Elephas maximus indicus: one gene and its partners. The protein of the gene in region 1 interacts with the protein of each later gene in a biochemical or structural test. Links are inferred from orthologs where the notes say so. Each region holds a gene or a part of one and is shown in the gene's direction. Other genes may lie near its edges. The genes, in order: CDC25C, CHEK2, MARK3 and PLK3.

Region 1 (7,426 bases):
TGGGTTGTGATCCCTTTGTAGGGTAGAGTTTTAGATTTCTAATTGATTGGAAAGTGGTAGTAATGCAAGTAAGTCCCCTGAAAGACATCTGTTTTCTGTAAATATTTTGTGCCCCACTCAGGAGTGGTACAGGTAAATTAGCTGTGTTCAGCTAGAAAGTAGTCATTGTAGGGATCTTCCTCATTGAGCCATGGAAGGGAGGAGGCAGGAGCCACAAAGTCAGCTAACTGAAAAAGAATAAAGGAAAAGTGAGGTATTTATAAGAAAGTGGGAGGGGGATATACCTTGCCATGCACATTTCCCCTTGGTGAAAAAGAAGCAGAGGCAGGGACCATGAAGCATAGGAGACACTGTTTTCAGTAATAGCTGTGAAGCACTTATATGTGCCAGGCACGGTGCTATATAATTTAAATAATGTATTCTCATTTTTGCTTACAATCACCAAATGAGACAATAAACAGCCCAAGAGGTTGAGTGCCCAAGTGGTGGGCAAAGAACCAATTATGAGCCTCTAAAGCCCTGGTTATGTAAAGCACTAGGCTATATACCCCCCACTTTTTTTTTTAAATTATCCGTGCTTACAAAAGTTAAATGACTGAGTAAAAGAAGTTAAGTTAGCATTGGCTAACTTGTAAAACATTGAAAGAATTTGAGACGTTAAAAAACAAAATCAAACAAAAACTGAGCAGATTTCAGGCCTCAAAGGAAGGCTATACCCCCTCTTTCATCAAGGGTAAAATAGCACTCAGTATAGCCCAAAGCTCCACCTCCATTACTAACTATAGTTAAATCTCCTTCTTGTTAGGTGCCATCGAGTCGATTTCGACTCATAGTGACCACATGTGACAGAATGGAATTGCTCTATAGGGTTTCCAAGGCTGTAATCTTTATGGAAGCAGACTGTCTCCCATGGAGCCACTGGGTGGGTTTGAATAACCAACCTTTAGGTTAGCAGCCAAGCACTTAACCATTGTCCCACCAGGGCTCCTTTTAAATCTCCTTATACCCTTCTCTTAGTTCTCAAGTTTTTAAGTCATGACCTGTTATTTTTTTTTCCAGCTGCTTCCTTTTGTTCTTGGGATGCTACCTTGAACTTCGTCTTAATTGTGCCCTTGGGCTAGACCTCATCTCTGACCCTGCTCCAGGGAGTTTCAGCAGAGTATACTACCTGGTCTCCATCCAGATTCTCGAAGAGTTTCAGGGCCTGGAGCCAGTCATCCAGTAGATTGTCCAAAGGGGTGGAGTCCATTGGCTCTAAGAGACTCTCCATTCCCTGTCTAGGAAGGCAGCAGAGTCAGAGGAACATGCCTTTTATTCAGACCCTCCCTTTTCACGCAGTGAAAGATAAACCTCTGCAAAGTGGGGAGATGTGGGGCTCAGCCCACCACTCACTGAAGGAACCAGAAATAGTCAGCACACCCCAGAGCAGCCCTGCCCTGAAGGGGCTGACTGGGCGGATCCCAGGAATGCAAGGCTCTTCTCCAGTGCCTGTTCTGGGCATCCCAGGAGCGATGGCTGTACTGTCTGTTCTTGTTTGGCGTCTGAGGTTGAAGCCCTGGCTGTCGCTGTGCCCTGGCAACAACAAATGTGGGTCAGGCTGAGGTCAATATGAAAGGGGGCCCTGTATAGCAGGGGGCACAGCTCACTACTTATCACAATGAATCAGGAGCCTAGTTAGAAATTCCCTGAGAATGAGTAAGACCAGTGTCCTCAATCAAATAGAAAAAGTAGATCTTCAGATTATACACCAAACTTTCAGCCTCACTAATAGCCTTTCTTCTGGAAAGGGTAAATTAGATATATTCTTGGAAATCAAGGTAGACATAAAATATTTGACTTCCCTTTAAAACAAATGTTCATTTTCATGCATTTAATTTCTATGAGTGTGTGTAAATTTACATGTACTTAGGCAAGTATGTTGCAATTACCAAGTCAAGAGGAGGCATAAGAAGACGATGGTAAAAATGGTTGGAAGGAAAACCACCTCATTAGGAAACACAGATAGAGCTTTAAAAAGTCACATGGAGGGGCGGGTGGGAGAGGAAAATCGGGGATATTAAGAGATACAGAATTTTTGTTAAAGACTGTGAAAAAAATTGGAAACATGATGATTGTTGCACAACATGGTGAATGTAATTAATGTCAGTGAATTGTAGACAGAAAATTGTTGAAATATATATCTCACCACAATCAATTTTTTAAAAAAGCCAATGGACCAAGTATGTTCCACTTGAAAAAAAAAAAAACCTTGGAAATATTAGGGCTAGATTACAAGAAATTTAGTAGTTCTGCAACTTTGTGAGCACATTCAAAACACTCAGATCCTAGTATCTTTCCATCCTCTGAACCAAAGCAACTTGGTGGGCACCCTTGTTGTGACCACCCCACAATGAGACTCATGTGGAGACCTGCTGCAGAAAGCCCTGGTAGCCAGGTGTGCTTTTGCCATAATCTATCTGCTTTTGCCGTCGCTGCAGGACAATGTCATATGTCTCTACTGTGGGGAAGTACACAGTGCCCCACAAAGTGTGATTTATAGTCACCAAAGCAGAACCAACTCATCCCATACTCTCTTAATTCCCAGCCTGATTTGCAAACTCACCTGGCATGGCGTGACTCTGTGCTGACTCCTGCATTCACCATCTGTATCCCAGAAGACAAAGACTCCTCACACATCTCCTTTCTAGAGAAGCAGATTCTACAGATGAAGGGAGTATCAGGGAGTAACCAGCTGACTACAATGCTTCTCAGCCACCACCACCACCAAGATTCTGACACCAGATAAATGTGGTATTTCTGACTTATTGTTTTCTCAAAGATAAAGTTGCATTTCTGACTTAATGTTTCTCAAAGTGTGGTCTGCGAACCATCTGCTTTGGTAGCACCTGGGGGCCTTGATCATTCCTGGGCCCCATTTCAGACCTATTGAATCAGTATTTGGGGCTCTTGCATTTTCAAGAGCTTACAAGTTTATTTTAAACTTTTATGGGAAATTTCAAATAATACACAGCAGTGAAGAGAATAGCATAATGCCTTGGGGCAGTTTGAATCCACCAGCCACTTCTTGGAAACCCTATGGGGCAGTTTTACTTTGCCCTGTAGGGTCTACGCGTCGGAATCCACTCAACAGCAATGTTTTTTCTTTTTTAAATGCTACTCAAAGTATAGTCCTAGGATTAGCTGCATCAGCATTACCTAAGACCTTGTTAGCAGTGCAGAATCTTGGACCCCAACCCAGACTTAGGGAGTCAGAATCTGCATTTTAACAAGATCCCAGGTGGTTAGAATGCACATTAAACTTTGACAAGTACTAGTGGGCGTCGTGTACCAATCACCCATCACTCATGGCCAATTTGTTTCATGTATACACACCGGTTTTCCCTACCCCATTATTTAAAAGCAAATCCCCCAAATTATGAATAACTTAGTATCAGCTGTTGTGTACTGTCGACTGGATTCCAACTCATAGCGACCCTATATGACAGAACAGAACTGCCTCACAGGGTTTCTTAGGCTGAAATCTTCAGGGAGCAGACTGCCTAAAGATTTAGGTTCAAACCCCCGACCTTCTCATTAGCAGCCAGGCGCTTAACCATTGCGCCACCAACCAAAAAGAAGGAAACCCGTTGCCGTGGAGTGATTCCGACTCATGCGACGCCGTAGAACAGAGTAGAACTGCCCCATAGGGTTCCCAAGGGAGCGGCTGGTGGATTCGAACTGCCGACCTTTTGGTTAGCAGCCAAGCTTTTAACCACTGCGTCACCAAGGCTCTCCGTATTATGCCACCAAAGCTCCTTTAATACCACTTAGTCAAGACAAATTTCCATAACAAAGACTGAATTCTTTGAACTGTGATAAGGATTATGCCAAGAAATTATTCAACTTTCCTATTCTCCCAGCAAAGGAATTCCTGTTTACCCTACATAGAGTCTCAGATGCTACCCCTAAAAAGGGTCACCGAAACTCTTGGGAGGGGCTGACGCCGCTCTGCATAAACACACACACCTGTCTCTTCCCAACACCTGCCACGCCGGCGGCAAATGCTCCATCGCCAGCGGAAAGCTAGAAAAGCTAGAAGGGAAAGGTCCGCGTAACAGCACGAGAAAAAAAGCAAGAAAAAAGAGACGCTCTCCAAACTCTCCCATCTAAACTAAAAAAAAAAACGCTCGTGTTATTAGGCCAGCGAGTGGTCGCAATTTAAATCTCCCGGGGTTGGTGAGGCTGCGGGCAGACTGAAGGAAGGATGTGGCGATTGGTCAAAGGGAGGGCCAATAATGCTCCAGGTTCCCTGTGGGGCGGGGCTTATCCAGCTTTTTTTTTTTTTTTTTCCTGTCTAAAGCTGGTGGGCCAATCGCCGGGCTGCTCTGATCCAGGGGCGGGGCAAATATTGCTCTTCCAGAGCAAGCGCACGCCCAGAGGTGATGTACGATTGGCTGAGGACGTCTAGGCGGGCACGCCGAGATCGGCTGACGCAGTTTAGAGGCAAGCGTGGATAGGTTATTGGGGAGGGCGGAAGGTTTGAATGGTCAAGGTCTACGGCTGTTGGTGTTCTTGCACTGAGACTGTAACTTCCATTCTGCCGAGAGAACTTGCAAAGCCTGGCCCCCGCCTACCCAGCTGAAGAGCAAAATAGTCTGGCTAGTCGCCTCTTTTCCCCAGTTTGTTCTTTTCTTTAATTCTGCTCGAGGCTTCGCTTGTGGCCGATCCTTTCCTCGCGAAGACAAGGCTCAGGACCCAAAAGACCTAGGCCCGGAGCCATCTACGCCACGGAGTCACGGAGACCCCATTGTCTCCTCCGGGTCCAGCCGGGACCCCGCAAACCTAAGGCGGGAGGACCTGATAGGCATTATCGCGAATTAGGAGACCTGAGTTCCGGTTAGGACTCGCTTAGCTGTGTGGCCGGGAACAAATCAAAGGCCTTTCTTCATCCCATCTTTAAAGCCCTGAGTTGCCTCTCGGTAAGTTAGGATCCACCAAAAAGATCACCGTTTGGGTATGCCCGTACTCCAATACTGATTTGCTTGACCGCTGCTGGAAAGGGTTAGGGAGGTTGTTGTGAAAGCTGTGATGTATCAGTGATGCACCTACATAGATGACCTTGTCCTCTTATATTGGTTTAATTTTTTCTTGGTGAGAACTTAGAGCCCATGTCTGCAAATCCCTTCTCATCCACAAGAGAGGAGGAAGGCGCTGGTTCAGGACCCAGTTTTAGATCCAATCAAAGGAAGAGGTTAAACCTGCTGCTGGAGAGAGAGACTTCCTTTACCAAGTGTCCAGGTCTCCCTAGAACTCCGGTGGACAAACTCCTGGTTGATTCTGGAAACCTAAGCATTTTGTCTGGGTAAGTTCACTTTTATAGTCACACTTTATTTCTCTTGCTTTTCTAGTTTGTTTATAAATTATCCTGGCCCTAGGAAAAGGGTCTAAGTCTCACCTCTGCCACTTGACTAACTGTGACCCTTTTGAATCTCAGGCTTCTTTTCAGTGATCTGGGAATAACAGTTTCTTCCTATTTTACCAGGATTGGGTGAGAATCTAATGACGTGATGTCTGGGGAAGTCTTTGCACACTTTATTATTAGTGTTATCGTACTTGTACTTGGAGCCCTGGTGGCACAGTGGTTCGGCCACTAACCAAAAGGTCAGCAATTCACATCCATCTACCGCTCCTTGGTAACGCTATGGGGCAGTTCTCCTCTGGCCTATAGAGTCGCTATGAGTCGGAATCAATATGTGTGTGTGTTCTTGCACTTTAAATTCTGGCGATGTTCGTGTCCAGATGCCTCAGCTACCAAATGAAGTTGAAGATTTATAGAGCTGAAAAGTACTACAGAACCCAGGGAGGAATCAAGTCTGTGTCCTCATGGTGCACAGGGGAGAGGACATAAGATCAAGACCTGTAGATCAATAAACTTTGGGCCTCAATTAAAAAAAAAAATTATCCTGTCTCAATATGTTGGTGAGGGGAAATTGAGATACAGGTTATTGGAGTAAAGAAAAGGTGAAACATTTTTCTCAGCCTAGTTCCCATTATTACCAGACCAAAAAACCCATTGCTGTACTAATGGATCACAACTACCACAGGCCTCCACCAGACTGAGTCCAACACAACTACGTGGTGCCTGGCTACCACCACTGACCACTCAGACAGGGATCACAATACACAGTCCTGAATAGATCGGGAGAAAAATGTAGAACAAAATTCAAACTCACAAAAAAAGACCAAACTAACTGGTCTGACAGACTGAAGAAACCCAGAGAATATGGCCCCTGGACACTATTTTAACTCAGTCCTGAAGTTCACCTTTCAACCAGAAGACTTTTTTTTTTTTCTTACTTTAACAAAGAGAAATTTATTTCCTCACAGTAAAGTAGGCTAAAAGTCCAAATTCAGGGCGTCAGCTCCAGGGGAAGGTTCTCTCTCTCTGTTGGCTCTGGAGGAAGGTCCTTGTCTTCACTCTTCCCCTGGTCAAGGAGCTTCTCAGGCACAGGGATCCCTGGTCCAAAGGACACGCTCTGCTCCTTCAACCACAGGATTTTTGAGGAAAATGAATAGATAGGCCTGTAAAATAAACAATAACACATATGAGGAACATGTTTCATAGTTCAACCATGTACGTGAGACTAAATGGGCTTACCAGCCCAAAAGCAAAGACAAGGAGGCAGGAAGGGACAGGAAAACTGATGAATGGAAATAGGGAACCTGGGGTATAGAAGGGGAGAGGGTTGACACATCCTGGGTTTGGCAACCAATGTTACAAAACAATGTATATATTATTTAATGAGAAACTAATTTCCTCTGTAAACTTTCGCCTAAAGCACAATTAAAAAAAAAAATTGCCATCAAGTCAATTCTGACTCAAACTGACCCTCTAAAATGGAGTAGATTAGAAATCCCCCATACGATTTCCAAGACTGTAATCTTCATGGAAGTAGACTGTCTCCCACCGATTGGCTGGTGGGTTTGAACCTCTGACCTTTCATTTGGCACAGTTAGATTAACCACTGTGCCACCAGGGCTTCTTGTTTCATTATTAATCTGAAATGTTTCCCAAAAAGTTACTAGATTTATTTGGACACTGTTCAGATTTTTGTAACAGTTATTGAGGAGTGTTGCAAATGAGGATGTTATGCTTTTTTCATTTAAGGATGTTATAACCTAATGGGAATTTTGATGTTCTATTATGTCTCGACAGAGGAACCCCAAAACGTTGCCTTGATCTTTCGAATCTTAGCAGTGGGGAGATGTCTGCCATGTCTGCCACTCAGCTTACCACCTCTTCAGACTTTGATAAAACCGGTAGGGAGAAGGGAATAACAGCCATAATGGCCTCAGTGGGAAGAATAACATAAGGGAGAGAACAGGCTAGTAGGATAGAGATGGAAGATGATGAAAGAGTGTAGCGAGCCTTGAAGTTGGAAATGTG
Region 2 (6,996 bases), on another chromosome or scaffold:
AGAATAAAGTAGAAAACGAAGCTATATGGGGTCTGAAGAACAGGGTCTCAATCTTTGCTTTGCTACATATCTGCTGTGTGACCTTGGGAAATTCCATGAAATTCTAAGACACATTTTCCCTGTCAGAGATAATCACAGTATCTAAATGACATCACGGGTGGGAAGGAACATTCCAATCTGCAAAATACTGTTGTTGTTGGGTGCCACAGAGTCGATTTCTACTCATAGTGATCCCATATGACAGAGTAGAACTGCTCCATAGAGTTTTCTAGGCTGTAGTCTTTATGGGAGCAGATTTCCAGGTCTTTCTCCTGTGGAGCGGTTGGGTGAGTTTGAACCACCAACCTTTTGCTTAGCAGCCGATAGTATTACATTCTTGATTTAAGGCTGCCTTTTATAGGGCCACTATGAGTCAGAATTGACTTGATGGCAGAGGGTTTGGTATTTTTTTTCCAGAGGGACGTTGCAAGTTTAACCTCCAGACAACATTGGTTTCTGTATGGTCAAGAAAAAAAATTCCCTGAATCATCATGATAACCAGTAATTTTCTCTCTATACTCGTCTTTCACTTAACCCTAGGTATATATCCATAACAAAGTGCCTTGGCACCGTTTCATCTTTTACCTGCGACAACGGATTCAATCTCATTGACAGCACCTTCATGTTGAGCTTCTGCGAGTTTTTCATTGATTTCCATTATTTCCACGAGGAATTGCTTGTCCATTTCATCTGTCCCTTCGGGAATCTCTATTCCACGGAGTTTTAGCTATTGAGGTATAAAGCAGACAAAATAAGTTCTGTTTAGGAAACTATGGCCAGAGTCCTGTAATTCCTATTCACACCTTAGAACATAATATCGCTCATGGGGAAAACTCGAGCTGTCCTAATAACGAAAGCGTTAAGAGTAGGTGCCAAAAGCCTGGGCCGAGACAGAGTGCTGGGACAGGATCCCTCTCTGTGCTCCTTGGACCTGTGTGACCCTGGGGAGTTACTCTTCTACTCAGAGGTTGAACTAAATGTTTGTAAAGATTCTATTAAGTTCTAAAATTTTCTGGAGTTTAAGACTTCTCCCAAAAGAAACCAAAAATTACCCTTCATTAAAAGTCATCATCAAATCTTTGAAATTTATAGAAAATGGTGTCAAAAAAAAAGAAAAGAAAAAAAAGCAACTGGGGCAAGTAACATTTGCAGAGAATACTCAGAGAAAATGATACTCGTGTAGTATCTTTGAGGCTAAATATTGGGTCTCTGGATCAGCTCAGGTCTCAAGCGCTTTTCTCTGATTAGAGGGGAGCAGGTGTCCCACAACACAATAAGCACCAGGCAGTCACGCATAAAAGAGTTGGGAAATCACCTTACAAGGTATAGTCCCCTGCTTAGGGGTGCCAGAAGGGTCTTATAGGCATCATTCACCAGGGTCGAATGCTTCACTGAGAAGTCCTTTTCAGTCTGTTAGTGGGAGATGAAGGCAGTCTTATTATCATCCAAATTAACCATCTTACATTCACAAACTGTTTTAAAAAGGCTGATGGGTTACTGGGCCATAAAAAGAAATGAAAGTCCTGATGCATGTCACAGCATGGATGAACCTTGAAAACATTATGCTGAGTGAAGCAAGTCAGTCATAAAAGGGCAAATACCGTATGATCTGACTTATATGAAAGAGGCAAATATAGTGGTTACTAGAGGTGGGAGGGAAGGGGAGAAAAGGGAGTTACTGCTTAGAGGGCACTGCGTTTATGTTAATTGTAGTGGAATAATTTGGAAAAGGATAGTGATAATGGTTGTAAAACATAAAGAATATAATCAGTGTTACTGAATTATACATGTAAAAACTGTTGAAGTGGCATATGTTTTATTATGTATATTTTTACCATAATTAAAAAAAAAAAAGGCTGATGGGTGGAGACCTCAGGAAGTAGCCAAAATAGAACTGGTGTCGGATGAGCTGTCTTAATTTTCAACTGATTGGTTTTAGTCTGCTGGGAAGTTAGATAAAAGCTGTGAGTGCATGACAGCTCCAAGGCCTGGCTGGCTGAGGTCAGGCTGCCATAGGGTAGAGCTGGTTGTCCGGCTTGTTCCGTGATAATTACATAACCACAAGGCCACTGCCACCCATCTAGTGTGTACATGTGTGTTTGGGATGATTGGGGGTAGCCAATAGACTACCTGAGACCTCTGGCTGAAGAAATCTGGATGAACGAGACGCTGTAGTTGCTGGTACCTATGCTGGAGCTTCATGGTGTCAACTCTGAAGGAACGGTTGCTGGAAGAAAACCAGTAGATGAAATTCATGGAACAAATAATTAAAGATTTGTCTTCTATAAGCCTGGTTCCTGCTCTCATGGGGGATGGTTTCAAATAGTGGTTGGTGCTATGAATGAAAACAGAACTGGGTCAAAGAGAGTGGTGAATGGAGTGGATGAAGAGATGACATTTGAGGGGAGACCTGAATTTGTGGAGGAGTATTCAAATATCAAAGGAAAGAGCCATCCAGTCAAAAGGAACCACAAGTGCAAAGGCCCTGGAGTGGGAACAAAATTGGCACACTGAAGAAATTAAAGGGTAGTGTCATTGCAGCCCATAATAAGTGCTCAGTGACCTGTGGGGGCAGATCCTGGAGTTGAGGGAAGGGGCAATGCTGAACTTCACCCAAACTTTCTCTCTCCTAGATCTCCCACTTTCCTTTAATCCAACTCATTTTAGCTATCAGTTCCTAGAGTCTGCCTTATCACCTAACCAGTCCATCTCCACCCACATTTCATCACCTCTCCAAGCTCAATTTCAGAGGAAAATGGGAAAAAACACCCATTTCTGGGACCCTCCACCTTCAATTCCCACTTTTCCTTTAAATCCTGCCCACAATACTAGTTTTTCTGTGCTTTTACTCCCTTAAAGATCCCTATTGGTGCACTGGCTAAAAGCTTGGCTGCTAACCCAAAGGTTGGTGGTTCAAGCCCACCGGCCTCTCTGTGGGAGAAAGATTTGCAGAACTGCCTTATGGGTCAGTTCTACTCTGTAAGATCACTATGATTCAAGATCCACTCCATGGCAAGTGTTTTTTTGGTTTTTACTCCCTTAACTTGGACTATACATTAGTATTCCTTTCTTTAAGAGTTTCAACCCAACTTTAACCTTTCTTACTCTGCTCCCCAGGTCTCCCTTGTCCTAGGTCCAGCCCTCAATTTCTCCTCTCAGGCTTCGCACCTCAAGTCCCCCCCTCAAGTCTCCATCCCTCATCTCTCCGGCCCTTCCCTCAGACCCCGCCCCTTAATTTTCTCTCCCTCAGGCCACTTCCCAACCTCCATTCTCCCAGGCTCCGCCCCCAACCATCTTTCAGGGCCCCTCTTCTCCAAGCCTGGTCGGCCCACCATTCTAGCTGACCAGTTCGTCACGTCTCGATGGTCTCGACCCCTTTCCCAAAACCGCCGCCCGTACCAATCCATGAGGCTGAAGTAATCTCGAGTGGGGTCGGGTGGCTGCAACGCGCGGCACTGCGGGCAGAAGAGTATGTCCTCCCCTGTGGGGCCCCCTGGGCTGCCGCCGCACTTCCAACATCGCGGGGAGTTGCTTCGGGCCTGCGAAGCAGCATTGCAGCTTAGTGGTCTCCTCCTGGGGCTCCATGCTGGCCTCAACCCCCACACCCGGAGCAAGGCCCCAGCTCTCCCGCCCCACATCTGGCCCACGGCCTATCTCGCCTGGGTCACCTGTGGGGGAAAGGGGAGTTAGCGAGCGACCTAACTAGTGCTGCTGATTGGCTGTGGGAACTGAGGGGGCGGGATCACCTTGGGGAGGGGGGGAACCTGGATTCTGTGTCCCGCTTTGAGATCTAAACTACAACTCCCAGCAGGCAATGAGGCTACACTTCCAAGGTCCCATCCGCTTCTCCTCATTGGCCCAGGGCGGCGGAGGGTGTTTTTGATTGGCTGAGGAAGGAGTTTGTATTACATCTTTAGCGCCACTCCGCTGGCTGCGGCTGCGGCTGCGGCGAGTGTGCGCGAGTCGGCTGCGGCGAGTGTGCGCGACTCCAGGTGGGCTCGCAGGGTGAGTCTTAGTGGGGAAACTTTTTTGGGTGTTTTAGGGGTTCGAATCCCGTCCTCAGGGTCTTATGCGAGCAGAATCTCTGGAGCTTCCGCTTTGCCGAATTTGAGCTCCCGGGGGGGGGGGGAGGCGAGTACGTGGGCGACTCTTCCTTCTTTGTAGATAAACTTGGAGGTGAAGTTTACATTCCCTCGTGACTTACAAGCTGCTACTGGCCTAGACCTAGAAGGTGGGAAGTTAAAAAGTTTATGCTCTTAAAAATCACAGCGAAGTTGCTTTGTAAGGAGTTCTATGAATGTTAATGATCACTGCCATGATTTAAATTCAATATCGTAAGTATTTTTGGCGAACCCACTTTAGCTGCTATGCGCTGCAGGAACAAGAAACCCACTGCCCTATGTGTGTGTGTGTAGCGGATGCCTTGCGAGTGGCCTTAAGTGTGAGGGATGGGGTGGCAGGGAATGGGCAGCCAGCACGAGACGTCTTTGAGACTCAGTTTCTTATATGAAAAAAGATTGTGTTGCATATGTGAGGCTTTTTTCTCGCTGTAGGATTCTTCGGGACTGGAAGTCTGTTCACAGTCATGGGTTTTGCTGTGGTTATTGTGGCCTTTCACACCCCACTCCGCATGGCCTGCTGATATAAGTAGCTCCCAGTTATCATGCATTACTGGGGTGGAGGGGGAGGTGGGGAGAGCAGAGGGCTAGCATTACATGCATCACTTCATTTAATCCTCACTATTTATTTGCTTTTTTCATATGAGTAAACTGAGACTCAGAGAGATTGGGACCTGCCCAGTGTCATGCAAAGATTTGAGGCAGGCCTCTGACTCCAAGGCTCTACACCTCTAGCAACTCCACCATACCTTCTCACTATTGCTGAGGCCGGGGTGGTCCCAGCTCTTTATTTTTGTCTGAGTGGGTGGACCCTTGTCCTAAGCAAATGATGGCTGCCACCTCTTGACACGCTCTTTCTTTCTCCACTTACCAAGGGCGGGGACTAGATGCAGACGAAGAAGTCTTGTTCAGAAAGCTACAGAAGGACCCAACCTGGCTGAGGCAGTTTTAGACCAGCAGGTTCTGGAGTGGCAGACTCAGCTCTGGCATCACCTTCCTGTTGTGTTTTAAGAAAAGCTCCTCAGGACCTTTGTATCTTGAAAGCTGTGTAAATGCAGTAACATTGTTTACAACATTCTCCTGAAGGATTAACCTGAATGTGGGGAAAGGAAATACTTCCATTAAAAAAAAAAAGTCAAATTGGATCAGGCTTGCAAGTTACTTTGATTTTACAGGAGGTTCTGTTGTCTGAGTATAACTATCCATCAAGTTAATTCTAAAGAAAGGGAGCCTCTGTTATGGTATCTGTGACTCAGAGAATGGTTCAGAATTCTGTCCAGAATGGAAGGCCTTTTGGGATGCTGAAAAGATGAACCCATAGTTACTTAGCATCAGAAGAGCTAGGTGGAGTTGTTTAGAGCAGTCTGGTTTGTGCTCTGTTTCTTTAAGTGGCCTGACCCAAGTTAGGTGCCAGGGGATCTGGAATGAACAAACTGGATATGGTCTCTGTCCTTCTGGAGTAGGCCTGGGTCAGGGTGAAGGAGAGACATCCGATGTGTTTTATGTCAATGACAACCCTAGCCATTGTATGGTTTCTCTTTGCTCAGCTTCTACCTTTGTCCACCTGACAGTTCCCCGCCTTCTTTCCCTCTCAAAATATATATGAAATTTAAGTGTAGTGTTAGTTGTATTAATGAATAGGGTTTAGGTTTCATTTCTAATTTTTAAAAATTGAGGGAATGTAAGCTTTTGAGCCTTTGACCCCATTCCCCCCAACTCAAAAACTATTGGTCTAAATTGTTAGCATTTTAACTTTTTAAAATAATTTGTCTTATTTTTGTTGTGGAGAATATACACAGTAGGACATACACCAATTCAACAGCTTCTACATTTACAAATCTACATTGATTACATTCTTTGAGTGGTGCAGCCATTTTCGTTCCTCCCACACTAACAAACTCATTGCCTCCTAAATTTCCTGTCTAACCTTTCAAGTTGCTATTGACAATTTGATCTCGTGTAGATAGATCTTAAAAGAGCATAGTGCTCACAGCAGACGTAGCATTTTAATTTTTGCAGAGCATGTGTATCCTGTCTTTTTTTTTTTTAATTTAAAACCATTGTAATTTGCCCACCTTTCACTCTTGAACTTTAAGTTTTGTTCCTTGAAACTTATCTTATTGGTGAACACTTGCTTTTTGAGGTCCTGATGTCTCGAGAGGCAGATATGGATTGTCAGCAGTCCCAAGACGGCACCTCCTCACAGTCTCAAGGCGCCACCTCCTCTCAGTCCGCCACCTCCTCTCAGCCCGCCTTCTCCTCCTCCTGGCAGTCGCACAGCAGCTCCTTGCAGTCCCCTGGCCTTTCCTCACAGCCCCACGGCTCTTCGCAGTCCCAGAACACATCTGGCTCCTCCTCTGGCACAGTACACACATCCAGTCAGTCCTCTCACTCCAGCTCCGGGACGCTGAGTTCCGTAGACACAGTGTCCACTCAGGAACTCTACTCTATTCCCGAGGACCAAGAACCAGAGGAGCCCATCCCGGCCCCCTGGGCTCGATTATGGGCCCTTCAGGATGGATTCTCCAATCTCGGTAAGCGTCTTTGTTATATGATGCAATGTTTCATTCAGAAAGACAACTACAGTAAGTTGTAGTAGAAGGCTCGAGTCGCTCCTGGAGTGATTCTGGAGTTTGATGGTGATGGAAGATGAAACTGAGGAAGCAGTGTTGGGTCGTACATTAGCTCTTAACCCCTTTTGGATTCCCTTTATTTATTCTTACAGCAGATACTTTTTGGGCATTTGTGCTGTGCTGTTGGGCTGAGGTTCTTGAACAGAGCTGTGGACTCTCCCCAGAAAACTGCAGTTTCATGCAAACTTGTAAACATTTCTCATTGA
Region 3 (7,175 bases), on another chromosome or scaffold:
GAGTGAGCACTTCCAGCGTTGCATGCGTTTGTTGGAACATCTCAATTGGTATTCTGTCAGTTCCTGAAGCCTTGTTTTTCACCAATGCCTTCAGTGCAGCTTGGACTTCTTCCTTCAATACTATCGTTCTTGATCGTATACTACCTCCCGAAATGGCTGAAGGTTGACCAATTCTTTTTGGTATAGTGACTCTGTATTCTTCCAACTTCTTTTGATACTTCCTGTGTCATTCAATATTTTGCCTGTAGAATCCTTCAATATAAAACCAGAAACCCAGTGCCTTCAAGTCGATTCCGACTCATAGCGACCTTCAATATAGTAGGACTAAATTATCTTAGCTTCTGATGGCTCACATTGATTTCTACTTGACATGAAAGCAAGTGCTGCCTACACATATACACAGCTTGGCGTATTTACTCACACTGTTATAGCGTAGGGAACCCAAGACAGAACCTGTTTTAACATGAAGACAGGAGACAAGGAATATGAAAAGAGACAGAGGCATCCCAAGGATGACTTCCAGAACTTGCCACTCCTTCTAGACCACAGATGCACATAATTCATGGTCACAATGGGTCCATCTGACAGGCACAGAGCACTGCTTTCCTTTTCTTTTTGTTTTTGCATAATATAGACACTTTGCTCCCCATTTTCAGCTCTTCAGAGTGTAATCACTGTCATTTCACGTAAGTGCAGTGAAGAGTGTTTCTTTAAGTCTAGCCTTTATGCAAAACAGAAGCTGTGTGAGCTAAGTATGTCAGATTCATTTCCTAACTTTTGGATTCATCAACTCATTAGCCAATAGTTAGCTTTGGTCAGAAGAGCACCTGGGCTGAAGCTTCACCTCCAGCTATTTCTCTGCCCAACGTGGAGTGTTCTGATTGTTCAAATGCTTTCTCTCAGCTCTGCCTGAGGCTGAAACTCATTTGTGTGTCTTTTGGATGTTTTCCCAGCTGACCTAAGGGACATTCCTGTCATCAGAATCAGACATGGCTGCAATTTGGCAGAACCTGGTGCCCTGCTATGTGCAAATGTGGCCCAGCTCCTGCCTGCCCACCAGTCACACCTCTTACTTTTTTTTTTGGTTTGTTTTTTTAATTGTATTTTAGATGAAGGTTTACAAAGCAAATTAGTTTCTCATTAAACAATTAATACATATTGTTTTGAGATACTGGTTGCTGTCTTAGTCATCCAGTACTGCTATACAGAAATACCATGTGGATGGTTTCAACAAAAAGAAGTTTATTCTCTCACAATCTAGTAGGGTCGAAGTCCAAATTCAGGGTGTCACCTCCAGAGGAAGGCTTTCTGTCTCTGTCAGCTCTGGAGGAAGGTCCTTGTCATCAGTCTTCCCCTGGTCTAGGAGCTTCTCTGTGCAGCAACCCCGGGGTTCAAAGGACATGCTCTCTCTGCTCACTTCTTTCTTTTATATCTCAAAAGAGATTGGCTTAAAACACAATCTAATCCTGTAGCTTGAGTCCTGCCTCATTAACATAACTGCCACTAATCCTATCTCATTAACATCATAGAGGTAGGATTTACAACACATAGGAAAATTATATCAAATGACAAAATGGTGGACAATCACACAAGACTGGGAATCATGGCCTAGCCAGATTGATACACATATTTTTGGAGGACACAATTCAATCATGACAGTTGCCAACTCCATGATACGTCAACATTCTCCCCTTCTTGACCTTGGGTTCCCTATTACCAGCTTTCCTGTCCCCTCCTGTCTTCTAGTTCTGTCCCTGGGCTGGTGTGCCCATTTAGTTTCATTTTGTTTTATGGGCTATCTTTGGCTGAAGGGTGAACCACAGGAGTTACTTCAGTGCTGAGTTAAAAGGATGTTCAGGGGCCATACTCTCAAGGTTTCTCCAGTCTCTGTCAGACTAGTAAGTCTGGTCTTTTTTGTGAGTTAGAATTTTGTTCTACATTTTTCTCCAGCTCTGTCCGGGACCCTCTATTGTGATCTCTGTCAGAGCAGTCGGTGCTGGTAGCCAGGCACCATCTAGTCGTGCTGGACTCAGTCCGGTGGAGGCCGTGGTAGTTGTGGTCCGTTAGTCCTTTGGACTAATCTTTCCCTTGTGTCTTTGGTTTTCTTCATCCTCCCTTGCTCCAGACAGGGTAAGATCAGTGGAGTATCTTAGACGGCTGCTCACAGGCTTTTAAGACTCCAGACACTGCTCACCAAAGTAGAATGCAGAACATTTTCTTTATAAACTGTTATGCCAATTGAGCTAGATGTCCCCTCAGACATTCACCTCCAATCCTCCTGATGCTCATGCAAACCCAGCCGTTCTCCCTCACCTCTGTACCTCTGTGCAGGCCAGCCCTCTGCTTGGAATGCCCCCCCGCCCCCAGCCACCCCAGCCTGGCTAACTCTACTCATGCGTTCAGATTCAGCACAAATATCCTCTCCTTCAGGAAGCCTTCCCAAACTGAAGCCCCCAAGCTGGGCTCAGTGTCCCTGCTTGCAGCTCCCACAACATTTGTGCTCGCCCCCATCTTATCTCAGCCCACATTTCAGGTGAACTGTTATGAAGCACATGTTTTATTGTTGTTAGCTGCTGTGAGCCGGCCCCTGAGTCATGGGGACCCCATGTACAACAGAACTAAATGCTGTCTGGGTTCTGTGACATCCCCGTGATTGGCTGTGGATCACACTGTTGTTATCCACAGGGTTTTCACTGGCTGATTTTCCGGAAGTAGACCTCCAGGTCTTTTCTCCTAGCCCATCTTAATCTGGAAGCTCCGATGAGACCTGTTCAGCGTTATAGCAACTTGCAAGCCTCCACTGAGACGGGTAGTGGCTGTGTATGAGGTGGACTGGCTGGGAATTGAACTTGGATCTCTCATGGAAGAAGCACACATTTAAACTAACAGGAATTCAAGTCTCTGTGCTTGGCCAAATAGGGGAAAGAGAATATCGACTTAAAGGGGGGACCCTGGCTCCGTAAGCACGCACCAGAGGTGACACGGGTGGTCTAAATGCATCTCAGTCCTCACGTATTTTACACTGGGAGCGTCTGGCTTTTCTGGGAGTGATTCTGGTATTTAAAGGCATACACTCGTATCTCTCACAGGGCAGGAAATGCCCCAGACATAGGAAGACGGTTCAGATCCTGGGGGACCAAAAAGGAAAAGACACATCCACCGCAAGGGCTCATCTACTATCAAAGCTTTAAGAACTGGGTTCTAATCCCAACTCTGCCACTTACCAACTTTGGTACTTTGGTCAAGTCACTGTAACCCCTGGAACTTGGATCGCATTGTGCGTGTGCCCGTCTTACACGGTTACCCTGACCTTAAACGAGGTAACAAACGTAATGTATCCACCAGGTACACTCTCCAAAACAGTTCGAGTTACCCGAGCACCACCCCCTCTCCCCAGCCCATCCCCTCTCCCTCCTCGGAACCTTGCACCCATGGATTCCACCCACCGCCGGCCAGACCCTGGGCAGAAACACAGGCTACCTACGGAGGCGAGGAGGGCAAAGAAGGTTTCCCGGCATGTCCAGTGCTCCAGCCTGCGGGCGTCCACAGAGCCCCGCCCCAGCCTGGGATCCCGGGACGCTGCCAGTCCTCGCGGCTGGTTATAAATCTCCTGCGGGCTGGAACTAGCGTCCTTGGGGTCCCCACAACTTTCCTCCCGCCCCCTTGAGCCGCCCTTCTTATTGCATTCTTCATCCCGACGGCATTAGCCGGGTCCCTCTCCCTGCAGACTTGCTGCCCTCGGGATGCGCGGATCCTGGCTGGCCTACAGCCTGGACAGACGCGGTGCCCTGCGGCCCCGGCCCTACAATTGCCGCCGTGGCTCGACTCTGCAGCGCAGGCCGGGCATGTGGGCTCCGCGTTTGCACACAGTAGGCGCTGCATCAGCACTGTAAACGCCAGCCCAGCAGTCGGGCTCAGGCCGCCGTCCAGGGCCGTGCCCGGTTCTCCCGGGCCTGCCTGCGTTACCGGCTGTGGGAACCCGTTGCCCGCTGCCGCCGGCGGGGACCCGGCCCACCCGCTTCCTCGCTCAGGGCCGGCCCTGCAGGACCGAGTCGCCCCTAGCAACAGCAGCAGGCCGCTTCCTCGCAGCGCGCTGATTGGCCCAAGTCCGGGAGGCGGCGGCTGCGTCACTTCCGGCATCCGGAGGCAGCAGAGGAAGTCGAGGGGCGGCCATCTTGGGTCTGTGAGGCTCGGTGGTGCCGGCAGCGGCGGCGGCCAGCGGGCGGCGGCTGAGGCGGAAAGCGAGCGGGAGGGAGAAGAGCAGCCGGCGCAGGCCCCTCCTCCGCAGGCCCCTCCATGGTCGGCGCCCGCAGCTCGTGGCGGCCTGTCTCGCGCTCCTCCTGCTCCGCGGCCTCCTCCTGCTCCTCCTCAGGGGCCGCCGGCGGCGCTGTGTGGAGGCCCCGGGGCTGAGGTCCGCGGCGCGACGGGCCGGAGCGCAGGCGGGGGGGCGGGGGCCCGCGGGGCGCCCTGAGGCGCGGGGACGCCGGCTGACCGCCGCCCGCGGGGCGCCTCGCTGCGGCCCCGGGGGAGATGCGCCCCGGGACCCGCCGGGGGACGTCCCGGCCCGGCCTCTAGTCGACCGCCCGCACCGCGGTGACCCGGGACGCTGCCGCCGGCTTCCCGGGGCCGCCCGTGCCGTTTCCACCCCCGCGTCGTGAGAATCCAAGTGCAAGAAGATGTCCACTCGGACCCCGCTGCCGACGGTGAATGAGCGCGACACGGAGAACGTAGGTGTCGGCGTGCGGAGCGGGGCGGGGGCCGGGCCTGGGGGGCGTCGGGCCTGGGGGGGGGGGTCGGGCCGGGGGGGAGCGGGGGCCGAGCGGGGCCGGGCCTGGGGGGCGTCGGGCCTGGGGGGGGGTCGGGCTGGGGGGGAGCGGGGGCCGGGCCGGGGGGCGGGGGCCGAGCGGGGCTGGGCCTGGGGGGGCGTCGGGCCGGGGGGGCGTCGGGCCTGGGGGGGCGGGCAGGCGGGGGCCGCAGACGTGGCGGCGGGGCGGACGGATGGGGGCCGGCGGGACCGAGGCGAATGACGGGCGGCGAGGCTGCTGGAAGCGGAGCCCGGAACGGTGGCGCGGCGGGGGCCCCGCGCTGGCCGGGCGTCCTCGGCTTCCAGGCTCCCGGCCCGGGATTCCCTGGAAGGAGCCTGGGCTTGGTGGGCGCCGGCCGCTCCCTGCCGGGGACGGCGAGTCCCAGGCCGGCGCTGGCCAGGCGCCCCTCCGCTCTGGCTCGCTCGGGGTAAACGAGGCCGGCCCAGCGGTGCTTGTCTGCCGCAAAACGTCGGCCAAACCTGGCCAAGAACCTTCCCCGGTCTTTCGCTGACGGGTGTCAGGAGGAAGTTGCCGGGGAGAAAACGGCCGTGTCTTTTAGGAGAAGTTTCCTTGCTGTGTTTTCATGGTTTCAGCAAGGTCCTGAGACACTGTGGCCTCGCGGTATCAAGTGTCTCGGTTTGAATCGTCAGAAGGCCGCTCGTTTGCTGCTGGTGGCTATCAGATGGTTTCATCTGTTTATGGAAACCGAGGTGGCGAGGATCCCCAGTGATGTACTCATCAACGCGTGGTCTGTAACGCTCTTTGGCCCTGAGGAAGCGGGCGGTCAGGGGTGTGCTTTCCTGCACCTGAGATGCATTAGAAATCTATCTGAGGAGTGAGTCAGAGAAAACCCTGGGTTAGGTGCGTCAGTGAACTCATTTTCTTACCCTCCTTCTTTGAAGCCCTGTTTCTGCCTTGATGTTTTCCTGTTCCTTGACCAGCCTGAAGAGTGGAACAAGCCCAAAAAGTGCATTGATTAGCTTTGATCATTGATCTTCACTCAGAGAAGCAAACCCTTACATTCAACCCGAGCTAGCGGGAGCTCCATCCACACCTTCTAAACTGAAGCCAGACACAGTCATAACACATTTGTAGTGATGACGGATTCACAGCGAATGGGTCTTTTGGACATATACATACCTATTTCACTGTGGGACGTAGAGAGAAGAAATACGTTTATTTTCATTCAGGGACACATGGTTTAGGCAGTGAATATCTCTGATTGTTCTTGACTGACTTTGCACGTTCTTCACCTTGTCCTCTGTTGAATTTGTTGAATCATTTTGTACTATTTTTTGTGTGTCGTTAGGTACTGCTAACTTTATTCTTTAAGAACAACCTAGGGTAAGGAGTGTGTCTTTTTTTATCCTCAGTTTAACATATTTAAAGTTGAAATTTTGACAGTGTTAGGATCAGAGATTTGCAGCGTGTCTTTGCATTAATTCAGCATACCTGTTCCACTTTAACTCTGGCATTGCCGTATTCTGGAAGGAACTCTGTCTCTTTCACAGTAAGAGCCCCAAGTGCCAGTGTTACACCTCAAGTGTGGGCTCTGTAATTGAGTGTACGCTAATGCGCTTCACCCACCATTACTGAGTAGCTAAACATTAGACTTAGTGCCAGTTCAGTGGTGAGGGTACGAGAATGAAGGGAAGTGCTTAGTGTGTTGAGTAGCTCTTCTGTTAAAGTCAGGCTTATTGGGATATAACATTCACCCTTTTTAAGTGTACAGTTTGATGACTTTTAAAGAATGTGTAGTGATGTAACCAGTATCATGGTCCCTTGGGCCCCTTTGCACTCAGTCTCGTCTTCAGATCAACCACTGGCAATCACTGATCTGTTTTCTGTCCTAACAGTCTTGTCCTTTTTACAGTGTCGTGTAAATAGGATCATAGGGTGTGGAATCATTTATATGTGGCTTCTTTCACGTAGCATAAGTTCAAGTTCGTTTCTTTTTATTGCTGAACAGTATTTGGATTTATCTTTGGATATACCTTTTTTTTTTTTAACTCATTTACCAGTTAATGGATTTTTTAGCTATTATGATGAGAGCAGCTTTGCTTTTCTATTTTATGGAAAGACTTTCAACTTTGCTTATCCTAGGAGCCTTATTTGCATTTCTAAAAATTGTATCTATTGTGAAGAATGTTCTTATTAAGAATAGTAGAACGTTCTTAAGAATAGTAAAAGGCAGATAATTTGCAATAAGGATAATACTGGCTTTACTGTATTTTCATTTGATATACAGATGTGAACATCCACCTTTAGGTGATGGGTATATAAAAGTTCACTGTTATCAAGTCATTTTCTAACCCAAAAGGCCTGGTCCAACAATCTGACATGAGAGGAAGCTGAGGTTCAGAGAGGTCA
Region 4 (7,167 bases), on another chromosome or scaffold:
GGGTCACCCATGGTGTACAGATTTCAGCTGAGCTTCCAGACTAAGACAGGCTGGGAAGAAACACCTGGTGGTCTACGTCTGAAAAGAATTAGCCAGTGAAAACCTTATGAATAGCAGCGGAACATTGTTTGATATAGTGCCAGATGATGAGTCCCTCAGGTTGGAAGGCACTAAAAGGACGACTGGGGAAGAGCTGCCTCGTCAAAGTGAGTCGACCTTACTGACATGGATGGAGTCAAGCTTTCAGGACCTTCATTTGCTGTGTGGCACAACTCAAAATGAGAAGAAACAGCTGCAAACATCCATTAATAACTGGAATGTGGAATGTACTAAGTATGAATCTAGGAAAATTGGAGATCATCAAAAAAGAAATGGAACACAGAAACATTGATATCCTAGGCATTAGTGAACTGAAATGGACTGGTCTTGGCCATTTCAAATTGGACAATGATATATATGGTCTACTATGCTGAATGACAACTTGAAGAGTAAAGACACTGCATTCATTGTCAAAAAGAACATTTTAAGATCTATTCTGAAGTACAATGCTGTCAGTGATAGGATAATATCCATACGCCTACGAGGAAGACCAACCAGTTAATATGACAATTATTCAAATTTATACACCCACCACTAAGGTCAAAGATGAAGAAACTGAAGATTTTTACAAACTTCTTCACTCTGAAATTGATCAAACATGCAATCAGGATGCATTGGTAATTACTGGTGATTGAAAAGTGGAAACAAAAAAGAAGGACTGATAGTTGGAAAATATGGCCTTGGTGACAGAAATTATATCAGAGGTCACATGATAGAATTTTGCAAGACCAACGACTTCTTCATTGCAAATACCTTTTTTCAGCAACATAAATGATGACTGTACATGTGGGCCTCACCAGATGGAATACACAGGAATCAAATCGACTACATCTGGGGAAAGAGATGATGGAAAAGCTCAATATCATCAGTCAGAACAACGCCAGGGGCTGACTGCGGAACAGACCATCAGCTGCTCATATGCAAGTTCAAAGCTGGAGAAAATTAGAAATGACCTTGAGTATATCCCATCTGAATTTAGAAATCATCTCAAGAATAGATTTGATGTGTCGAACACTAATGACCAAAGACCAGACAAGTTGTGGAATGACATCAAGGACATCATACATGAAGGAAGCAAGAGGCCATTCAAAAGACAGGAAAGAAAGAAAAGAACAAAATGGATGTCAGAAGAGACTCTGAAACTCGCTCTTGAACATCACTAAAGCAAATGGAAGAAATGAAGTAAAAGAGCTGAACAGAAGATTTCAAAGGGCAGCTCGAGATGACAAAGTAAAGTACTGTAATGACATGTGCAAAGAACTGGAGTTAGAAAACCAAAAGGAAAGAACACACTTGGTATTTCTCAAGCTGAAAGAACTGAAGAAAATATTCAAGCCTCGAATTGCATGTTGAAGGATTCTACAAGGAAAATATTAAACAACACAGGAATCATCAAAAGAAAATGGAAGGAATACACAGAGTCACTATACCAAAAAGAATTGGTCAACATTCAACCATTTCAGGAGGTAGCATATGATCAGGAACCAATGGTCCTGAAGGAAGAGGACAAAGCTGCACTGAAGGCACTGGCAAAAAACAAGGCTCCAGGAATTGACAGAATAGCAACTGAATCATTTCAACAAACAGATTTAGTGTTGGAAGTGCGCACTCGTCTATGCCAAGAAATTTGGAAGACAGTTACCCGGCCAACTGACTGGAAGAGGTCCATATTTATGCCTATTCCAAAGAAAAGTGATCCAACTGAATAAGGAAATTATTGAATAATATTATTAATATCACACTCAAGTAAAATTTTGCTGAAGATTATTCAAAAGCAGCTGCGGGAGTACATCAACAAAGAACTGCCAGAAATTGAAGCCAGATTTAGAAGAGGATGTGGAACCAGGGATACCATTGCTGATGGATCCTGGCTGAAAGCAGAGAACACCAGAGAGATGTGTACCTGTGTTTTATTGACTATGCAAAGGCATTCAACTGTGTGGATCATAACAAATAATGGATAACATTGCAAAGAATGGTAATTTCAGAACCCTTAACTGTGCTCGTGAGGAGCCTGTACATAGATCAAGAGGCAGTCATTCAAACAGGACAAAGGGATACTTTGTGGTTTAAAGTCAAGAAAGGTTTGTAAGGGTTGTATCCTTTCACCATATTTATTCAATCTGTATGCTGAGCACATAATCTGTAGAAGGTGGACCATATGAAGAAGGGGCATTAGGATTGGAGGGAGACATTAACAACCTGCATTATGCAGATGAAATAACTTTGCTTGCTGAAGTGTAGAGGGCTTGAAGCACTTACTGATGAAGATCAAAGACTCCAGCCTTCAGTATGGATTACACCTCAACATAAAGAAAACAAAAATCCTCACAACTGGACCAATAAGCAAAAAAGATTGAAGTTATCAAGGATTTTGTATTACTTGGATCCACAATCAACACTCACGGAAGCAGCAGTCAAGAGATCAAAGGATGCATTGTACTGATAATTGGGTAAATCTGCTGCAAAAGGCTTCTTTAACGTGGTAAGAAGCAAAAATGTCACTTTGAGGGCTAAGGTGTGCCTGACCCAAGCCATGGTGTTTTCAGTTGCCTCATATGCATGTGAAGGCTGGACAATGAATAAGGGAGACCAAAGAATTGATGCCTTTGAATTGTGGTGTTGGTGAAGAATATTGAATATACAATGAACTGCCGGAAGAACAAACAAACCTGTCTTAGAAGAAGCACAACCAGAATGCTCCTTAGAAGCAAGGATGCCAAGAATGAGTCTCACGTACTTTGGACATGTTATAAGGAGGGATCAGTCCCTGGAGAAGAACATCATGCTTGGTAGAGGGTCATCGATAAAGGGGAAGGCCCTCAACAAGATGGATTAACACAGTGGCTGCAACAATGGGCTCAAGCATAACAACGATTGTGAGGATGGTGCAGGACCGGGCAGTGTTTCGTGCTGTTGTACATAGGGTTGCTATGAGTTGGATCTGACTGGAGGGCACCTAACAACAACATTGTCTGTTTCCATCAAGCAGAATGTTAAATAAATGAGGGCTGCAACCTTGGCCAGTCTTATTCGAACCGTGTGCTGGTATTTTCACTGAGTCTTTGGGGACCGAATGGCTTATTCATGAGTTATTGATTGGATGGTTCAGTGTGAGGGCAGGGAGGTGAGAGGGACTACAAAGCCAGAGGTTGATGATCCTGTGACAAACACGCCAGAGAGGTTAAGACCCCACATTTGTCTCTGGCCCTGGAAAGATGAGCATTGAGTAGGTGTCTAAGGGTCCAGATGGTGCTGGCACCAGCTGCCCAGTTGCCCATCGCTAGCATCTGAGAAAGGTGAGTTCCCCTTTCTTAACTTTTTGGCTTTCTGGTTACTGAACCAGGACAATGGGTGTTTTCAGGGGAAGGGAATAAGGAACCCTGCTGGAGCCTGGGATTCGTCCCTCAAGAGTGTGGACATGGGTAGCAGATGATGTGACGCGGTGCATGGTAAAGGCTTGGGATACCCAGCCCAACCCAAAGCGCAGCATAGCTGCCCCTGGGCCTGGCAAGTCGGGCTCGGGAGTGTGCAATCCCTCTCGGTTCCTAAAGGGGCCAGCACTGAGCTAGTCCTGGAGGCTCCGACCGAGGGCGCCGGACGCGCTCACCATCTCGTGCCTGAAAGGGGAGTATTGGTGAAGCGCCCCGGCGAAAACGAGCGCCACCCCTGCCTCTCCCCTTCCGCCTGGAACGCTGGTCCAGTTGCTGGGGAGACGGCCTAGGTGCCGGGCTCCCACTCGGACTTCAGCATACGCCCCGAAGGATGGGAGAAGAAAGTAGCCCCCATTAGGGGGCTCAAAGTTCTCAGGGGCGGGGTGGGTGGGGGGCGGAGAAACAGGCCCCACAGCCGGGGCGCGCCGGCACAGTAGGTGACTAGCAGTATGGCTGTGCCTTTAAAGCTTGAGCAGGAGGCGGGGCGTCGAGGTGTGTGGGGTGGGAGGCGGAGCTTCTTGTTGACGTAAGCCCGAGAAGGGGCGCGGCTTCCCGGTGACTCGCCGCCAGGAAGGGGGCGGGGCTCCTGGTGACGGGACACGGGGAAGGGGGCCGGCGTTCATTGATAAAAACGCCGGGCTCCCTCGGGCGCCAGCGCAGTGTAGCGAATCCAGGCAGCGCCCACGCGCGGCCCTGGCCGGGCGGAACCGAGACCGAGCCGCGCCCGCGCTGCGACGCGCCGCCGCATGGAGCCCGCCGCCGGCTTCCTGTCCCAGCGCCCCTTCCCGCGCGCTGCCGCCCCGCCCTCGTCCCCCGCCGGGCCCGGGCCGCCTCGAAGTGCGGTGCCGGGACCTGAGCTGGAGGTGCCGGCCGGGGCACCGGCGCCGGACCCTGGGCGTCTCATCACGGACCCGCGCAGCGGCCGCACCTACTTCAAAGGCCGCCTGTTGGGCAAGGTGGGCTGGCGGCTGCCCGGGAGGTGATGCTGACAGGGAAGAGGGTCCTCGCCGTCCTTTTTTCCGGCGCCGGGCCTGGCGGGGGCGCTTGTCCCCGGCTCCAGGAAGTGTTCGGGCCAGACCCGGACACCCTGTGAGCGCCGTGTCTGATGCCCTCTCCTAATAGGGGGGCTTCGCTCGCTGCTACGAGGCCACTGACACAGAGACTGGCAGCGCCTACGCGGTCAAAGTCATCCCGCAGAGCCGCGTCGCCAAGCCGCATCAGCGCGAGAAGGTGCGTCCTGGCCGGAGGACGCAGGGTGGTGGTGGTGGTGGTGGTGGTGGTGGGAGGGCGGGGACCCTTGAAGCATGACAACCTCCCGTGCCCCCATCGCAGATCCTAAACGAGATTGAGCTGCACCGAGATCTGCAGCACCGCCACATCGTGCGTTTCTCACACCACTTTGAGGATGCTGACAACATATACATTTTCCTGGAGCTGTGCAGCCGAAAGGTGAGGAGAAGTGATGCAGGTGGAGATGGGGCAGGAAAAGGGACCTTAAAACCCAAAGCTGGGGCCCTGTCTCTTCCTCAGGGAGCATGGATGGGGGAAGGGTCAGGCAGGGAGGGCCAGGGACTGAGACAGTGGCTCTCCCCAGTCCCTAGCCCACATCTGGAAGGCCCGACACACCCTTTTGGAGCCAGAGGTGCGTTACTACCTAAGGCAGATCCTTTCAGGCCTCAAGTACCTGCACCAGCGGGGGATCTTGCACCGGGATCTCAAGCTGGGTGAGACTCCATGGCCAGCAGGATAGGAGGGTGGGAAGGGTTGGGAGGCAGGAAGGAGTCTGACACATCTCTCTTCCACCATCCAGGAAATTTTTTCATCACTGAGAACATGGAGCTGAAGGTGGGGGATTTTGGACTGGCTGCCCGGTTGGAGCCCCCAGAGCAGAGGAAGAAGTGAGTGTCGAGATGAGTGGCCTCGATCTATATGTGACACAGATGATGTGTGCGACAGTGAGTGTGTGTGTGTAGGAGGCAAGGTGACTGCCTGATGTGTGCATATGATAGATGGGGAAGGGGGTGATGAGCTGATTACATATGAAGGTGGAGGTGGCAGCCTGGGTTACTGGGACTGGCAGTGGGGGTGAGGGCCCTATGGGTGTGTGACACAGATGGGGTAGATGACTCTGACTTCCTGAGACAGATGGAGGTGTAAGGGTTCTTGAAGGTGTCTGACTGACCCTGTGAGTGGACAAGGGGAAGGTGCCACAGGCAGTGTGTGTATCTGTGTGTGTGGGAGAGAGAGAGACAGAGTATGGGAATGGCAGAATGTGACGCCCGGTAGGTATATAAGAAGACCCTGATATGGCCACGACGACTGGGTGTGCATGACACAGATAACATGTGGGAGATGAGTGCTTATGGGGGAATGTGACAGCTGGTGTTGGTGTGTGTGTAGCACAGACCGTGGGAGGTGACAGCCTGTATGGGTGCCTGACAGACGGCAGCAGGGGGAGGAGGAATCAGTGATGGGCCCTCTATGTTGACCCTGGAGAAGGGTCAGGGGCTCCCCCTGTCCTGCAGAGCAGCTGAGCAGCTGGGCCAGGCGGGTGGGCAGGGACTCAGCTGCTATACCCAGCATCCATTGTCCCAGGACAAGCAGAAGCTCTCTTGCCTTTGGTGACAGGCAGCTGCTTTGTCTGGACTCACAGCGGGGGCAGGGATAGGGGGACTGCAGAGCTGGGGCTGAGCCTTCCCCTCCTCCTTGCCCCCTTTCAGGACCATCTGTGGCACCCCCAACTATGTGGCTCCAGAAGTGTTGCTGAGACAGGGCCATGGCCCCGAGGCAGATGTGTGGTCGCTGGGCTGTGTCATGTGAGTCCCAGGACAGAGGCAGACAGGTAGGTGGAAGGGTGGGGCATACCCTCCACTTTACTCCTGACCTCTTTCCCCTGTCCCACAGGTATACACTGCTGTGTGGGAGCCCCCCCTTTGAGACAGCTGACCTGAAGGAGACATACCGCTGCATCAAGCAGGTTCACTACACGCTGCCTGCTAGCCTTTCACTGCCTGCCCGGCAGCTCCTGACTGCCATTCTACGGGCCTCGCCCCGAGACCGCCCCTCGATCGACCAGATCTTGCGCCATGACTTCTTTACCAAGGTCTGTGGCTCACTAGACACCAAAGTCCAGTCTACCTGTCCTCAGAAGATTTAATGGGGGCAAGTGAGAGGACCCCTGGAGCCTCTCGTCTCTTCTCACATGGCTCCCTTCTCCAGGGCTACACCCCTGACAAGCTTCCTGTCACTAGCTGCATGACTGTCCCAGACCTGACACCCCCCAACCCGGCCAGGAGTCTCTTTGCCAAGGTTACCAAGAGCCTCTTTGGCAGGAAGAAGAACAAGAGTGAGTCTGGGGTGTCAGTGGGTTGTGGGTATAGAGTAGGGGGCTGTTACACATGTGTGGTACCTGTGAACATCCTAGGGAGAGCATGTGTTGTACGAGCACTTGGGTGTGCCTATCTCTGTGTCATCCCTGTGGGAAGCAGGGGGCCTGGGCAGAGCAAGACACTGAGGGCTATATCTCCCTAACCCCCTGCCCCCCCAAGGCAAGAACCATCCTGAGGAGCGGGACGAGGTCTCCTGTTTGGTGAGCGGCCTCGTGCGGACATCCCTTGGCCAACAGGATGCCAGG

What was found.
Region 2: of the proteins of CDC25C (region 1) and CHEK2, one has a biochemical effect on the other in vitro, tested with the Homo sapiens proteins (14 studies listed by BioGRID). The link is inferred for Elephas maximus indicus from reciprocal best matches to the Homo sapiens genes CDC25C and CHEK2.
Region 3: of the proteins of CDC25C (region 1) and MARK3, one has a biochemical effect on the other in vitro, tested with the Homo sapiens proteins (3 studies listed by BioGRID, with this or other methods). The link is inferred for Elephas maximus indicus from reciprocal best matches to the Homo sapiens genes CDC25C and MARK3.
Region 4: of the proteins of CDC25C (region 1) and PLK3, one has a biochemical effect on the other in vitro, tested with the Homo sapiens proteins (2 studies listed by BioGRID, with this or other methods). The link is inferred for Elephas maximus indicus from reciprocal best matches to the Homo sapiens genes CDC25C and PLK3.

The regions. Positions count from the first base shown.
Region 1 is NC_064820.1:151,423,372-151,430,797, reverse strand, and holds the start of CDC25C (M-phase inducer phosphatase 3), read left to right. Parts: upstream 1-4,422; 5' UTR 4,423-4,958; intron 4,959-5,135; exon of another isoform or gene 5,136-5,142; 5' UTR 5,143-5,147; coding exon 5,148-5,341; intron 5,342-7,195; coding exon 7,196-7,299; intron 7,300-7,426. UniProt on the Homo sapiens protein: Functions as a dosage-dependent inducer in mitotic control. Tyrosine protein phosphatase required for progression of the cell cycle. When phosphorylated, highly effective in activating G2 cells into prophase.
Region 2 is NC_064840.1:27,875,189-27,882,184, forward strand, and holds the start of CHEK2 (serine/threonine-protein kinase Chk2), read left to right. Parts: upstream 1-3,978; 5' UTR 3,979-4,044; intron 4,045-6,300; 5' UTR 6,301-6,306; coding exon 6,307-6,691; intron 6,692-6,996. Other genes in the region: iron-sulfur cluster co-chaperone protein HscB, read right to left, coding at 625-766, 1,360-1,449, 2,170-2,266, 3,439-3,677. UniProt on the Homo sapiens protein: Serine/threonine-protein kinase which is required for checkpoint-mediated cell cycle arrest, activation of DNA repair and apoptosis in response to the presence of DNA double-strand breaks.
Region 3 is NC_064828.1:117,666,891-117,674,065, forward strand, and holds the start of MARK3 (MAP/microtubule affinity-regulating kinase 3), read left to right. Parts: upstream 1-4,155; 5' UTR 4,156-4,676; coding exon 4,677-4,727; intron 4,728-7,175. Other genes in the region: uncharacterized protein LOC126083725, read right to left, coding at 3,485-4,140. UniProt on the Homo sapiens protein: Serine/threonine-protein kinase. Involved in the specific phosphorylation of microtubule-associated proteins for MAP2 and MAP4. Phosphorylates the microtubule-associated protein MAPT/TAU. Phosphorylates CDC25C on 'Ser-216'.
Region 4 is NC_064821.1:87,161,109-87,168,275, forward strand, and holds the start of PLK3 (serine/threonine-protein kinase PLK3), read left to right. Parts: upstream 1-4,153; 5' UTR 4,154-4,279; coding exon 4,280-4,489; intron 4,490-4,655; coding exon 4,656-4,763; intron 4,764-4,865; coding exon 4,866-4,982; intron 4,983-5,127; coding exon 5,128-5,257; intron 5,258-5,343; coding exon 5,344-5,431; intron 5,432-6,253; coding exon 6,254-6,349; intron 6,350-6,437; coding exon 6,438-6,636; intron 6,637-6,752; coding exon 6,753-6,879; intron 6,880-7,081; coding exon 7,082-7,167. UniProt on the Homo sapiens protein: Serine/threonine-protein kinase involved in cell cycle regulation, response to stress and Golgi disassembly. Polo-like kinases act by binding and phosphorylating proteins that are already phosphorylated on a specific motif recognized by the POLO box domains.